Linked DNA regions of Mus musculus. The main gene of each other region encodes a partner of the protein of the gene in region 2 in a complex. Links are inferred from orthologs where the notes say so. Each region holds a gene or a part of one and is shown on either strand. Other genes may lie near its edges.

Region 1 (7,070 bases), on a different chromosome or scaffold from region 2:
CACCTACTCACTGAAGACCAAACTTCTATCAGCTCAGCCACACTTGTTTTTCTCTTCTCTAACTTGTAGGAACAGGTACAATAATGAAAACAGAGACTCTTCAACACAATGTCGGCTCAGAGCACATGAGCAAACTGCACTTGACTGGATTAGCGAACTCAGCACATTTATAGACATGTCCCCCAGTGTGGCTTGTCTACAGTTTTCTTTTTGTGGTGCTGGGGACCACGGCCCTAACACATCCAGGCTGAGGGCCACAGCCCTTGCTCTATTTTCTCTATTTCACAACAGGGTAACCACCAAGTGTTGGCCCTGTGTTCTTGTGATTCTATGTGAAGCGTAGGCTGGCTGAAGCCGGAATGGAAGTAGCTTTGCTTTCACTGCTTCCTGCTCAGACTCCCCATGTCCTTGTCACTGGCGGCCTATGAGCCAGGACTGGAAGACAGTTTCTTCAGAGTCACACAAGTCATGTTTTGCATTTACCCAGTAGGTTGACAGCTGGGGTCACGTGCCTCCCTTGTCTAGTTCTTACTGGGTGCTACCTGAGCTTTTGGGGCCCCTAAGACAGGTAAGGATATTTGCAATGGCCTCCCACCCCAGAATTGCTAGAACAGCACTCCCTCAGATAAGGGCAGGGCAGACTGGCCACTCTCCTTCCTCACACCCAACACGATGCCCTAGACATGGGAGACACACTGAACACACCAGGTAAAAACTTGAGAATCCACAAGACACATTAAAAAAAAAAGTAATAAAAAAGGAAACATCAAATTTAATTTAAAGAAAAACAACCTGAAAGTAACTGCAAGAACAATGGGCAAACCAACTCCTGAAAAGAGCAAGACGGTCACACTGACTGGAGGGCTGGAGAAAGGGACAGGTCATTTAGCTGGAGAGCTTGTGAGTTGCTTGCAAATGAACTTCTTCGAGGGTAGAGTGATCCTGGGGTCATTTCTGACTATCAGGATTCGTGTGAGCGTCTCTCTCTGGGAGTGTCCTGTACATCTCAAGAGGCAAAGTCTCCACTTTCCTACACAGGATCCATCTTTTGTCTCAGCCAACTCTCAATGGAGGGGCGACTAGAACGACGCCATCTCCCCGGACGAAGAGCATAGGGATGTTTCGTTTTGTGGACTGGAGGAGAACAAAAGGGAAAGGCAGGATCAGGGTAAGCAGTCTGAGTGCCTGTTTCCTGGGTGACCGCAGCAGGGACCACTGCGCACCGAGACCCACTCTTCTCTCGCTGTGCACTGCTAGAGTGCACTTTCCAGGCTTCTTTGTGACCAGACCCGGACACAAGGTAGATGGTTTTGTGTTATTTTTTTGAGATGGGGTCCGTCTTGCTGTGTAGCCCATGTTAGTCTGAAATTCCTAATTCCTATACCTCTCACACCTCAACCACAAGTGCTGGATTATTATTAAGATTTATTTTCACTGTGTGTGTGTGTGTGTGTGTGTGTGTGTGTGTGTGTGTGTGTGTGTGTGACTTTTCTGGCACTTGGGTTCTTGTATGTACATGATACACATGAACTCAGATGCACACATACATATAAAAATTAGATAAATGTAAAATAAAAACAAGTCAGACATTATGGCTCATGACTGTAATGCTAGCACGGAGAAGGCTAAGGCAGGCAGGTCTCCATGAATTCAAGTACAACTCAGCTACATGGCACATTTCAAAACTGCCTGTGTTATAAGTAAAGACTGTCCCAAAACACATATTAAAAGGAGAAAAGCAGCAGCAAGTGCTCTTGGCCTCCGAGCCGCCTCTCCAGCCTAGGTGCTGGGACTGCAGGAGTTTGCCACTATGCCTGGTTTTGAACTGACTGGGGGAGAGGGTGCTGGGGATTGAATTCTTTCACATTCTGAGCGAATGCGTTACTACTGAGTTACATCCTCAGCTATGGCGGAATTTTAGCCATGGATTTCAAGAGTGACTTCCTTTGAGTGTCAATGGGTAGTCACTGTTTACCAATGGATGGACCCTGTACACTGAGATCTCAAGGAACAGGAGGGTAGAAGTTTAATGTCCCCAACTTAGCACTATGCTGACTGTAGGCCAGGCCTCAGCCTCCAGTGAGCCCAGTCATCACACCTGCTTCTCTGTACTCCTGGGGGTGCGAATGGGGAACACAATTTCCAAGGCTTTAGCTCAGTGGTCAGGCTTTGGGCAGTCAGCAAACATGGTGCATCTGGAGTCATCACTAAGCCTTGGTAAAATGTTAGCAGAACCTGGAGCCAAAAACCTCCTGAGCCTATAGACTGTGGAGACGAAGGCTGGAAAAAGCCAGATGTTTGTAAGTGCTCTGGTGTGACAGATACATTCAACAGGGCAGTACAAAAATGAGATCAGGCAAGAACTGGCTAGTTATCAGGAAGACAAAAAGAAACAAAGCCAGATGCTTTTAAGCCCAACTATGTAAGTACAAAAGAAGCTGTGATGAATAAGCTTTTCAGTTAAAACCACTCTGTCCTCAGGCAAAGACCATGCAGCTGCTGAAGGGTAGGGTTAATCAGGGTGGTCTGAGAGAGACGCTGTCTCCTTGGTTTCCAAAAGGTCTGTAATTATGTGAGGACTGGTGCTTTAGGATGAGGTCAAGATGGTTCTGCTACAAAGAGGCCATCACCAAGAGCAACCTGTCAGTTAACCACACTGTGGGCTATATGGTGAAGGAAGGGGATGAACATGATGGACAGCAGGAAAAGTGGGCTAGAGCCAAAACACTTTAGCAATCAACAAGAGCAATACTCTAACTGTGGTGGACCGAGAACCAAAAGAACAGGGCCAACCACTTTCTGTCTTCCTATTAGCTAGTTGGTCTCAATCCAGTCACTCAGGAGTTAATCATAAACACCGTGAGGGGAAAACTCTGGGAATCCTAGTGGTCTGTAGGCCCCTTCCTATTTTGGAAATGTTCCTGTTCATTAGTTATGTCAGCTGAGAGAGGGCAAAACATACAACGGGCCAAGGGGAAGCTGCTGTCTGGTTTCCCATCTCAAAGGTAACGAGCGATATAAGGCAGCAATGTCGTGTTCTCCACAGTGCTGCATGATAAGGACTGTAGATACTACCTACAGCACCAGTCTGTCCTGCCTCTGTGTGTAGTCAAGGCACATGACACATTCGTAGAGACCATGAAGAGATGCTCAGCAGTTAAGAGCATCGGCCACTCTTCCTGAGAACCCAGGTTCAATTCCCAGCATTCACAGGGTGGCTCGTGACTGTTTATAACTCTAATTGCAAGGAATCTGATGACCTCCTCTGGCCTCCTTGGACACCAGGCATGCACATGGTACACAGACATACACAGACATCCAGACACATAAATTTTAAATTTAAAAAGAAAAGAAACTATTGCATTTGTGGGCTTGGTGTGGTGGCACAAGCTTTTAATCCCAGCACTCATGAGGCAAAGGCTCAGACCAATTCAGCTGACAGGAAAGGGCACTGTCAAACTCTTGAGCTGCCTCTAGGCTGTGCAGTGTGTGCCAGGTTCCAGCTTTGTGAGCTGTCACCCATGTTGGGGCAGGCTTTAGTGATACAGCTGTCTTTAAGATCAGTGTTAAAAACAGGTTGTGTGACTCCAAAAACACTTGCATTTTAGTTATACAATCTATTAACCGTTCCTAAGTAGGTGCCAGAACATAATGGGCTTTCCACAAATATGTGTTAAGCTGTTGCATGTTGAGAACTGACATTGTCAAAGCAAAGACTTGCAGGACTCACTTTATATATCTCTTCATATGTCTCCTCATCAATCTCTATCGTTGTCACAGTTTCTTCTACATCTCCCAGGATCATATTTAAATGTTGATCATAAGCCTGAAGTGGGAGGGTGAGATATGAGAAACAAGTAACATGGCTCAAAAGATACAAGTGGATTTTAAGTAACAGGTTCAATACTTACACCCAAAATTTTACATGCAAATAACAAACACCCTCTGTGCTAGCCTATCATGTCTTTACAAGCCATTCCCAGTGACAATACTGCTTATGATAAAAAGTGAGTCCACTCAATGCAACCCAAGAACACTTAAGCATCGCCTTCACTTGTTACCCAAGGCGGTCCCACCAGTCACAATAGTTTATTATGAAAAAACAGCAAATTCTGTCAGACTTCTTTTGAGATACTAAGCAGCATAAAGTCCTGTCACTTGCTGTGTGATAGGACCATGGTTCTCAAGCAAGGACACTGTCATTCGATGCTCACAACAAAACAGGTGCAGCAAAATTTGACCCATTTTTGTGGACATGGGTATGTGTGTGGTGTACATGTGTACTACATGTTTACATGTGTGTGGATGCCAGAGGTTGAAGCTGAATGCCTTCCTCAGTTGCTCCCCACATAATGTGTTAAGATGGTGCCTCTCGGTCGAACATAAGAGCTTGCTGACTGTCTAGCTAGCCAGCTTGCTTTGGTGTTTCCACAGGTGCTGGGGAGCTAAACTCTAGTCCTTACACTTTACCCACCAACCATCTGTCCCACCTCCACTTTGCCCATTTATAACTTATCCAGAATTTAACGTGCTTTGGCATCTGTGGGCTCAATCAGGAAGGATTTCAACCGCAGTGTTCAGTGCAATCTCCAAAGTTCATTCCTTTTACTAAACAGCAAACCTCCTGGGGCTTGTTCAGAACCCACTGCATGTTCTTCTAACAAAGTGCTAAGCGCTTTTGCCTGCTCATATCAAGATTAAAAATAGCCTAACAGCCACACTGGGAAGGAACTGCTTGGCAGCTACACAAATGAGCAACTCATCTGGAGAGCAGGGAGGAAACAGAAAGCTGGGCCGTTACTGCAGAGGTAAGAGCTGCAGACAACTCCAAGTTAGAGGCCACAGTCTGGCCTGGGGATCATTCCGTGCACCAGAGTGCCATGCAATTTAGCATCATCCCACATTTCTCACCAAACTGACACTGCTGTTCCCACAAGGCCAGCTTGTAGATCAATTCTTTATCCTTGGGTTTCATGAAAGAACATGAATTTCTAAGACTGAGACTGAAGTGGGATGGCCTGGTCCCCTACAGTGGCTCTGTCACTGTCAGTAGAGGGTTGTTTCTAATTTCTAAGCCTGAACTAAAAGACTTATTTCAATTCCTGTTGTAAACAAACAGCCCTGAGGGAAGTAACAAGAGGAGACAAAACCTTAAGTACACAATGATGGGACCAATTCCTCAGACATATAAATGTGCACAAGCAATATCTGTGAAAGTACCCATTGCAGCTTTATAGCTGGGGGGGGGGGGGGAGACTGAAGTCTGACACAGAATCCTGTATCCTGTGGCGTTGTGTCAGCTGTGTAATTATTCCACACAAAAAACATGTGAAAAAAGTGTGTACATATGAGACAAGGTTTCACTATGTAGGCCAGACTGGCCTCAAATATATGATCGTCCTGCCTTGGTCCTCTAAGTACTGGAACCATGGCACATGCCTCCGTTCCTCACTAGGCTCCCCTTCAGACACAGGTGGCATATACACATGCAGACGACTATGCAGCCAACTTTGAACAGTGGTCAGACATAGAGAAAAATGGAACTTCGCCTTTAATTTTACCCATTTCTATGAAGTTGTTTTTGTTTTTGTTTTTTTTTTTTTGGGTAGTGCTAGGGTAGGGGCTTTGCCGCATGCTAGGCAAACTATCTCTAGCCTGCTATTTAATTCTTTTCATGACAAAACAGAGCTTTATATGTCAAAAGCTAAAATACCCTATCCAATAACTTTAAAAAATCCAGGACAATGCCAAGAATGAAGAGCATGTCTGTAATCCCAGCTCTCAGGAGAGAGGCAGAGGGAGCTGGAGTTTGAAGCTAGCCAGGTTTTCTAGTATGACCTTGTCTAAACCCAAGAGAACAAACAAGTTTATTCATAAATAAGCAGAAGACAAAACTGAAGGAAACGAAAGTGTTCTCTATGGTTGGAGAGATGCTCAAGCTAAGAGCACTGGATTCCTGAACAGGACCTGAGCGTATCAGGCAGCTCACAACAGTCTGTAACTCTAGCTCCAGGGGATCAGATGCCTTGTTCTGTCTCACCGGAGTCCCACCCCTCTCTAAAAAACCATTCTGGTTAAGGAAAACATATTTTAAAAGTGAATAGAAGGATTTTCCAATTCCCAAAAGAAATTCAAAAAAGTAAGTTTACACTGCAGTTCTAATTTGTAAGGAGGTAGGATGCAGCCTCTGGCTCTGAGATGTTTTAACAGACTTACGTGTAGTCTGCCTCGAAGCTCTCGGTCATTTCTCATTTTCACATAAATTCGCTCATCCAGGCTGAGCCTGATCAGATCCAGGGGCTCCTCTACGGTATTGGTGGTCTGTTGCTGAGGAAAGGCAAAGGCTTACTCATAGGATACAGAGGCCGGGTGGTGTTTCAATCACTGGTCAGCTGAGAGAGCAGCATGTGGGTGCTAGTACACAACCAGGGTTGTCTCCAAGATCAGCAAGCGCTCTTATCTGCCAAGCCACCTCTCCAGCCCCAATAAATCCCCATTAAGGAACTTACACTCTAGTTGTGGAAGAAACACTTTAAATAAATACATATTTAAAACAACATGCTCTGGAGAGAAACACAGTAGGGTAGCACGTACGTACGTACATACGTGTGTGTGTGTGTGTGTGTGTGTGTGTGTGCAGGGGCTATACATATTTAAAACAACATGCTCTGGAGAGAAACACAGTAGGGTAGCACGTACGTACGTGTGTGTGTGTGTGTGTGTGTGTGTGTGTGTGTGTGTGTGCAGGGGCTGTGTGTGCATGTGAGGGTGTGAAAGACATTTTGGTGGCCAAGGTACACCAGCTACCTAAGAAATAGGGAAGGGTAGGTGCAGAGGCCCGTAGGCCCTTCTGTTGGCCTGTGTACCAGATCTTTGCTTGTTTTCTTCATACTCCATCTCTAGCAGTTTCTCCATCTCCTAGAACTGCACCTTTCCTCTGACCTCCCCTCGTAATTCACTCCAAGGGAACCACTGCCTGTGCCCCCCGTGTTCACTCGGATTGCTAAACTGGTGTCCTGCTACGACCTCCCGCTTTCTGTCGGAATCCCGACAGCTAGCTCCCAGAGATG
Region 2 (8,876 bases):
TAGCTCCAGTTGGCCTAAAACTCCTGACTCTACCTCTTAGCCTTCTAAATGCAGGATCTGCTCTACTCTCACCTCCACTGGCAGGACACACAGACAAGCCCCATGCCCAGGGAACTGCTCCCTCTGATAAGACCCAGGTGCCCTGAGGACAACATGCTCAGGGCTTAGGCAGAAGAACAGCTGGCTCTTTCTATGGTGTTTGCTTTTATTTTTCAAACAGAAGATGTACAGGGTATGGCTGGTAAAGGACAGGTGAGCCGCCATGGGCTGAGCCTGCAGCTCCAACTGAAACTCAAACATGCCTGGAAGAAGTCAGCCCTTCAAAGGGCATCTAAGGCTCCACAGGCACCTCAGACTCGGAACCTTCCAGAAACTGAGTCAGTGGCCAGCGAGGGACTTCACTGGACCAGACGCCAAGTGGGGCTTCACACAAAGGTGCCCTGAGGCCTCACCCACCGTTCTGGGCTCGGCTCAGGCAGGGAGTGATCACTGTTTGCCTGCCTGCCGCCCTGGCTTCTTCTCGGGCTGGCCTCGGCCTGCACCTGGGATGCCACCCCGGCCCCGGCCACCAAACACACCTGCACAGAACAGAAAAGGCAGAGTTAGACACCAGCGTCCCTAGACAGGGACAAGGGTCTTCCCCTCTGTGCCCTGGTCCACTGCGCAAGGGTCCTGTGGGAGATTCCAGGTTGTACTCAGCCTACAGGAGCCCACACCACCATGCCCTACATGTGATTGAAGAGGGTGCAGAGAGGCGAGTGCCCAGGTGTCCCTCCCCCACCTCATCCTCACAGGGACCCCACCTCGGCCAGCGCCGCCCATGCCTCGGCCTTTCTGCTGCTTCTGCTGCTGCGGTCCTCCTCGCCCTCGGCCCTTGGCGGCCTCCTCCCGCACCATGTCAATGATCTCATCAGGGATGCGCAGGTACTTGATGGTGCTGCCACGGATGTAGCACTCAGGCATCCTCCAGAACTTGTCACCATCCTGTGGAGAGGGGAAGTGTGACAGGTGGGCATAGTCCATCCAGGCCAGCAGTGCACCCTCCCCGCATGACCACTCACCCGCGACGTGCAGATCACCTCCCGGAGGTTGATGTTCATCCAGTTGTCACAGCTCACCAGATGCCCGTTGTAGGTCTCCCCATTCTTCAGCTCCACCAGCTGTGGGAGAGCCCATCAGCCTAGCTCAAACACAGCTGGCTTCCCATCCCAAACTACAGCTTTCTGGGTGTGCTTTGGGATCAACCTCTAAGGGCTGGCTGCCGCTCAGCTCATAAGTGGGTGCTGTGATAAGCAGGCACCGCCCAGGTTCCCCACCCAATGTATGGACAAAGACAAATTAAAACTCCACACTAGCTGGGCATGGTGGCACACACCTGTGATTCCAGAACTCTGGCGGCTGAGGCAGGAGGATAGTGAGGAAACAATGGGCAAGCCCAGTCTAGTCACCTACAGAAGGAGTGTTAACACAGCCAAGAAAATGACTCAAAACCACTGAGTGACAGACAAGCCACACTCAGAAATGCTCACAAAATGCAAAGGAGCAGACGTCAGGTGGGAGCAGTGCACAGGCAACCAGGGCTGGGGTAGACCCGAGGTGGGTGCTGAGGGGAAATGAGAAGAGGCTGGGCTCTGGCTGTGTGGAGTCTATAAACACACTACACACCACAGAGGCATGGCTCCTTCTGTGGCACCTCGGATGGAACCCAGGCCTGCAGCTTGCTGGGCCATGCCTTGGCTATTCGGCCACACTGCTGCTCCTTTTCAAAAAAAAAAAAAAAAAGCTTCAACCAGTGGCAATCCTCCTGCTGCATCCTCCCAGGCAGCTGCGATGACAGGGGACCTGGTCTATGCTGTGACTCTCAGGGCAGAATCAGGGGCATGAGTTGCACAGTGCCCAGCTTCTTCTTGACATTACTTTTAAAAGATTTTTTTTTTTTTTGGTTTTTTTTTTTTTGAGACAGGGTTTCTCTGTGTAGCCCTGGCTGTCCTGGCACTCACTTTGTAGACCAGGCTGGCCTCGAACTCAGAAATTCGCCTGCCTCTGCCTCCCAAGTGCGGGGATTAAAGGCGTGCACCACCATGCCCGGCTATAGATTTCTTTGTGAACGTTTTCCTTTGTATTGCATTTGCCATTCTGTCTGTGTGCAGACAGGGCAGAGAACAACTTCAGGGAAGTCATGAACCCCTCCATCATCACATGGGTCCTGGGGATTGAACTCAGGTCCTTCGGCTTGGCAGCAAGCACCTTTACCCACTGAGACATCTTGCCAGGCCTTCAATCATGAACTGCAAAAGACTGAGCTGTGGGCACATGAAGGGAGGTGGCCCAGAGTGCTTACCATGGGGTGATTCTGCGCTGTCTTCAGCAGCGACAAGGGAAGCTGGAAGGCAAAAGTCAGTGTGAGGTGTAGTCCTCAATTCAGGGACGACCACATGGGCATGGCTACCCCCAATGCACTCGCCTGTCTTCAGGTCACAGGTAACCTCACATCATCCCATTCTACAGATGTGAGCCACCTGGACCTCCCGGACCATTTTGGTCATTTCTCCACAATTTCTGTCACCTGGAACCACAGAAGCGGGGCACAGTCCTCTGTCTGGAGGTAGCTTTTCTGAGGCAGAATCTTGTCATAAGCCCAGGCTGGCCACAGCCTTCTAAATGCACAGGACTGCACACCAGCCTGCTTCACATCCCGTCCATGTGCTTCCAGAACAGGTGACTTGGGTTGCCTGAGCCCCAGGGCTGAGGTCAAGGTGACAGCAAGGCTAGTGACACTTTGCCTTCCAGAGCCAGCATCATAAAGACCAACATAAAGCCAGGTGTGTTGTGCTACACCCGTCATCCCAGTGCCAGGGAGGCTGAGGCAGGGGGATAAGGAATTTTAGATTATTTTCAGCTACAGTCTGAGATCAGCCTGGACTACATTAGACCTGTCTTCAAAATACACAAAAATCAAATTACAGCCAAGCATGCAGTGCACACATTCAATCCCTGCACTGAGAGGCAGAGGCAGGTGAATTATCTATAAGTTCCAGGCCAACTGGGTTACACAGTGAAACAAACAAACAACTACACGAGGGGCTGGAGACATGGCTCAGCAGGTGAGAGCACAGGCTGCTCTTCTGGATGACCTGGGTTCAATTCCCAGCACCCACATGGTAGCTCACACATCTATAACTCCTGTTCCAGGGGGATCCAACACACTCACAGACACATGCATGCAGGCAAAACACATGAAATAAAAATAAATCATTTTAAAAACAGAAGAAACAAACAACAAGAGCCCCAGATCCTCAGGGCCATCATGCCCAGCATGGGGACTTTGGGTCATGAGAGGACTGGGGGAGCCTACAGTACAAGGCCCTTCCCAAGAAGAGCTGAGGGGCGGGGAGGAGTTAGTGGCAGGGAAGTGAAGCTCTAGCCCACTTCCTGCAGAGGCTTCCTGGAAGGGTAGGAGGCAGAGGATGACTTTTGTGAAAATGGCTGGTGGGTGGGTGGGTGGCCTTGGTGATCAGTGACAATGGTGTCCACCCTGATCCTCAAATAAACAGCAGAAAAGAGCCACAGTATAGCATCCTATGGCTAAGCTCCAGGTAGTTGGAGCCATGGTTATCCTTGGCTACAGTGTGAGGCTAACCTGGGCTACATGAGATCCTGTTTCAATAAAGGAATAGAATAGTCAAACTCCCAAATACAAGGCACAGCAAGGGCTCAAGGGCAAACATTGCTAAACAAGAATAGAGGCACACAAAGCTCTTCCGGAACTGCTATGGCCCAGCACAGCCTGGAGGCAGCGATGGCAAGGTCCAGCCTTACTGCTCAACTTTCGTTCCTCCTGCCAGGGCCCCAGCCACCACCCAGGGTGCCCTTCCCTAGACTCTCTGCCCAATCCTGCTGAGCATGTCCCCTCCTGTGGTCAGGACCCTAATGGCCACCCTAGGCTGCCAGCCTGTTTCCAGCTCAGCAGCTGAAGCCGCTCTCTAATTATGGGTGATTAGCATCAGTCTCCCTGGCTAGACACAAGGTCAGTGTGGGCGTGGGCTCTGCTGCAGCAGGGAGGAGCAGTAAACACTTGCTGAACACGCAGGGGTGGGGACACCCAGCACAGGTGCATCCTGTCCAGTGCCACAGGTAAGAAAAGTGTGGTGTAGGGACAGGCCACCACAACCCCCCACTCCCCTACTGTGTGTGCAGTGGGAGAGAGGAATGAAAGAAGTAATTAGGAATGTCTCCCCAAAATGAAGGAAGAAAAAGCTCAGAGTGAAATGGGCCAGGGCAGACAGGGAGGCTGGAGCTGGGATAGTCACAGGCTTTTGAGTGGAGGAGACATAGCTTTACACAGAGCAGCTGCAGGTGTTATAGCCACCCGTTCTGGAATCCAGTCCCAGCACCTCCCATTAGAGGAGCCAGTTCCAGGAAGGGAAATTCCTTCTCAGCCATCATCCAGACTCTCTGGGATCCAGTGTGTAGATGAGATAGCTAAAGAACCAAGTCTAGGGCTCTGAGTTCAGGAATGTTCAGCTGGGACACTCCTGTACCAGCCTGACCGCAGAGATATGGGAGTGTCTGTGCGCACCTGCATGAGGTGGGTGTCCAGTCCTGGACGCACCTGGCCATCCCTTCAGGAAGGCTCAGGGTACACCCAGTGGGGAGTGCTTACCTAGCATGTGTTAGGCCTAGAGTTCCTGCACCACAAAACCCAGGGTCATTCTGGAGTAAAGGCAGGGTCAGGAGTTCACAGTGATGCATGTATACAAATGGAGTTCAAAGGCAGCCTGGGCTATATGAGACCCTGCCTCACATCCTGACTCAAATGTGGAGTATACACGTGTCCTTTCCATACTCCAGTGACTGAAGCAAGAGGATCAGGAGTTTGAGGTTAGCCTGGATTATGTCAGTTCAGATCAGAAAGCCTAACCAAAAAACAAACCAAATATCCTACCATCAAGAACTGGGGAGATGGGAATATGTGGCTCTCCTCACTTAGGCCAACGCGCCCCTCGACAGAGCAGGGGGAAACCTGGCCTCCTTTACTTGTTTATGCCAGGTCTAAGAGTCCCCAAACTGAGGAGGCCTGAGCCTAAACTAGGAGAAAAAAAAAATCCTTTCTTCCTGAGCAAGACATGCTGTGTGTCCCAGGGAGAGAATCAACCCGCTCTCTGAGCTGGATTTCCAGCCAAAGGCGTGGGCAGCTGAGGTCAGACACCAGATAAGCATCAAGAGGGCAACGAAGCCCACGTGAGCCATTAAGCCCGCCCATTTCCCGGAAACGCAGCTTTCCTATCAATGACGGTGACAAGCCCCGGAAACGATCATAGTCCCTCTTCCGGTCGCAAAAACCGTGTCCATCAAGAGATAAATCCCCAACGGTGACCGTCTGGGGCCCTGGAGGGACACCGGTCACTCCGGCCTCAGTTTCCCCCATCTCTCAGCAGCCCGAAGACCCTGCGCGCGCCCCTCCGCCTCGCGGCCCTCACCATCTTCCCTGCAGCGATAACTTCCGCCGCGGCACAGACACACGCGCTCCCACCGGCGGCCCACCGCGCGCCCCAGACTGAAAAAGACTGGCAGAAACTATGACCAATCAGCGAGCAGCTCAACGGACATCTATCCAATCGGGACGGGCTAGGGCGGTACCTACGGAACAAGACGGACGGCCTCACCGTATTTCTACGGTGGGATTGAGAGGTAGCCGTAAAGTGCGACACTAGAACGACGCAAAAGGCCGCAGCACAAGTTACGCCCACTACGGGGTGTATGTTGGGAAAGGGCGCCTGCGCAGAGGTGCTCTCCTGGATCTGGTTCGGCGCCTAATTCGGCGCCACACTGTGGGCGAAGCTGGCTAATGCATGCGAGTCGCGCGGTGCCTATTTTGCGCTCCTAGCCTTTCATTCTTTGTTTTGTTTTGTTTTGTTTTCGAGACATTGCTTCTCTGTGTAGCTCTGGCTGTTCCTGGAACTCACTCTAGACCAGGCTGGCCTCGAACTCAGAAATCCGCCTGCCTCTGCCCACCAAGTGCTGGGATTAAAGGCGTGCGCCACCACTGCCCAGCTCTAGCCTTCCATTCTTGCCCTTATGGATCTCTTTGTCTTTACCAACTCAAATAGAATCTTTGAACACGAACGGCAGGTCTGGCGTTCCCTGGCGACAGGAAGTGAAAACAAATCTCTGGGATTTTCCTGTTTTGAGATGGGCTTCTGTGGCAGCTGAAGCTAGCCGATCATGAACTTGCATTAGACCCCGACTCGGCTTCTCCACTGCTGGATGGCCACTGTGGGCCATCAAGCTTTAATCCTTGCTTTAAAAAAAATCATTATCATTTTGGGAGGAACATAGTGTTTCTCTGTACATCCCTAGCTGGCCTTGAACACACAATGTAGACCAGGCTGGTATCGACCTTCCAGAGATCCTAGTGAGTGCTGGGATTGCAGGTGTGCACCACCATGGTTTAATGTGTCTTCTTGAGCTACAAATTCAGGTTCTCATGCTTGCCCAGTAGGGGTGCCAAAGAATGATATTCCGGACTCAAATAGTATGAAAACTCAAAGAGTGTCTTATTATGCAGAAGTTGAGCATGCTGGAGTCTCGAATTACCAAAATAGACACCCATGTTAACTTGGAGGTTTGATTTAAAGCACATTAGGAAATTCCGGGGCAGGTGACCTCTATGTTAATCTGTGAGGTCCATCTCTATGGACGTTCCATGGCAGGGCTGCGGGGGCTGGAAACTTACTGGGGAGGTCTGGAAACTGTTGCTTACCCATTGTCCTTGCCTCAGGCCAGGTGGTGGGGCAGCTTCTGAGGCCTGGACTTGTCTGGAATTGGCCAGTTCTTGGAAACAGATTTAGGCCACCTCTCCTTAACTGCCAGTTTGAAGCTTGTCATGAAGTCAGCCTAGCCTTCTCATCAGGAAGCATTTTTACCCATGGAGCCATCTCCTAGCCCTTCTATTTATTTTTATTTTCTTTGGCTACTGGTTATGGAATCAGAGCTCCACCCTGAGCTGTCCCAAGCAGGACAGCTGTTTGACCAAGCTGCTGAAAGGCCCTGGTACAGAATGTTAGCGATGAGTTCACTTGTTGGGATCCTCTGACCCGGGAGACTCCCTTGGCACACTCCCCAGGGCTCTTCTAAGTGATGGAGTGAGACTCCCGCACTAAGACTGCAGCTCAGCGGGAGGGATAGAAGCCCTGAGCTCCCGCCCCCACCCCCACCGCTAACAATAAAGTAAAGCAGTAAGTGCTGAGGAGCAGCGCCTGAGCAGAATGGGCACTATCTCAGCACTGTGGAGGCACTGCTGGAGAAGCACAGGTTCAAGACCATCCTCCACTTCATGGACAGTTCAACAACAGCCGGGTCTACTTTACTCTGTCACTAATAAGGAAAAGAGAAATATGTCAATGGGTCTGCTGACCTCATGTCTAAGATTAGAGAGTATCTGTCACCCCAGAATCCAGCTCTGAGATGGGGACCAAAGGGTTTGTGATGTGAGGATCTGAGATACCTAGGGAAGAAGCAGCCCATGACGGGGAACTTGGACCCCTGCAGCAAGACTGGGTGAGTTCCAGCAAAGTTGCCGTCAGCCCTCAAGGGAGGCTTGGCTAGCCCATGCTTCTGCACACAGAGTGGGGGCGGGGGCGGGAGCCTTGAAACCTGAGGTGCTACTGCTCAGTGACAAGTCACTTAAGTCACCTAGGTGAAGGGTCAAAGCTCCCTACATTAAATAAAGCCATTGCCACAGTGGAGAAACATCCCTCCGACCTGGCTTCCTGCACTCCAGCCACCATCAGAGGAGCCTTTTCTGACTGGCCAAATGGGCCTGTGTACACGATGGCCAGGGGAGAGGCCCACAGCAGCAGCAGCCTCAATAAACAGGCTGCATACCTCTATTCTGTGTGCCTACAGCTCCCAGCAAGTGATACAGCACCAGTGCTGAGCTTCCAAGTGTGGCCTGGGCGGCTGCTGCACACTGGGAAGGTGCACTTGTGTGTCTGTTCTTCCAAAAAGATAGGGACAGGTTCCAAACTCTGTGGATAAAGAACAACTGGGCACAGGGCGTGGTGGCTCACACCTTTAATCCCAGCACTTTGGAGGCAGAGGCAGGCCGATCTCTATGAGTTTGAGGCCAGCCTGGTCTACAGAGTGAGTTCCAGGACAACCAGAGCTACACAGAGAAACTCTTGTCTTGAAAAACAAACAGCTGAGCCTGCAAGATGGCTCAGCAGGCAGAGGAGCTTGCTGGAAGCCTGGTGACATGTGTTTGATCCCTGCTACCAACATAGTGGAGCCCAGCACCCCACATACTCACACAAATAAGAAAACTGACATACAAGTATCAGAGTTAAAAGAAGTTCTATCTTCTTTAACTCTTTAACGTTCTCTTTTGCAGCAGTACTGTGTATCTTGTATGTAGGTATGAGGGAGGGTACATGTGGCCTCCTGTGGCCTTCAGAGGCCAGATGCGACAGCAGCTCCTCCATCCCTCTCCACCTTGCTTGCTGAGGAAGCATCTCTTACCTAAACTGAAGCTTTCCTTTCTGGCTAGGCTGGCTGGCCAGTGAGCTCCCGGCACCTCAACGTCTCTGACTCCTCAGTGCCAACTCATGGATGGCTGTGCCTTACTTTTTACATACGCATTTTTTTTTTAATTAAAAAATTGCATTTACTTAGAAGCATTCAGAATGTCAACAAAAAAGCCGCATTTTTCTTTTTTGCAATTAGAGTGGTCTTCAGTTAACAGAACAACAATTACTTCATATAAGCTGCATCAGAGACATCTGAAGATGAAAAAACAAAACAAAAATAAAACCAAAGGCCGGGCATGGTGGCGCACGCCTTTAATCCCAGCACTCGGGAGGCCAGGGCTATACAAA

Evidence for each region. The genes of interacting proteins can lie anywhere in the genome.
Region 1: Lsm4 (region 2) and Lsm3 share a complex: the UniProt entries of both Homo sapiens proteins name them as parts of the precatalytic spliceosome. The link is inferred for Mus musculus from reciprocal best matches to the Homo sapiens genes LSM4 and LSM3.

What each region holds. Positions count from the first base shown.
Region 1 is NC_000072.6:91,516,305-91,523,374, reverse strand, and holds the end of Lsm3 (U6 snRNA-associated Sm-like protein LSm3), read right to left. Parts: intron 6,328-7,070; coding exon 6,217-6,327; intron 3,827-6,216; coding exon 3,731-3,826; intron 1,135-3,730; coding exon 1,054-1,134; 3' UTR 755-1,053; downstream 1-754. UniProt on the Homo sapiens protein: Plays a role in pre-mRNA splicing as component of the U4/U6-U5 tri-snRNP complex that is involved in spliceosome assembly, and as component of the precatalytic spliceosome (spliceosome B complex).
Region 2 is NC_000074.6:70,670,062-70,678,937, reverse strand, and holds Lsm4 (U6 snRNA-associated Sm-like protein LSm4), read right to left. Parts: upstream 5,708-8,876; 5' UTR 5,484-5,707; coding exon 5,481-5,483; intron 2,384-5,480; coding exon 2,342-2,383; intron 1,161-2,341; coding exon 1,062-1,160; intron 985-1,061; coding exon 804-984; intron 579-803; coding exon 487-578; 3' UTR 186-486; downstream 1-185. UniProt on the Homo sapiens protein: Plays a role in pre-mRNA splicing as component of the U4/U6-U5 tri-snRNP complex that is involved in spliceosome assembly, and as component of the precatalytic spliceosome (spliceosome B complex).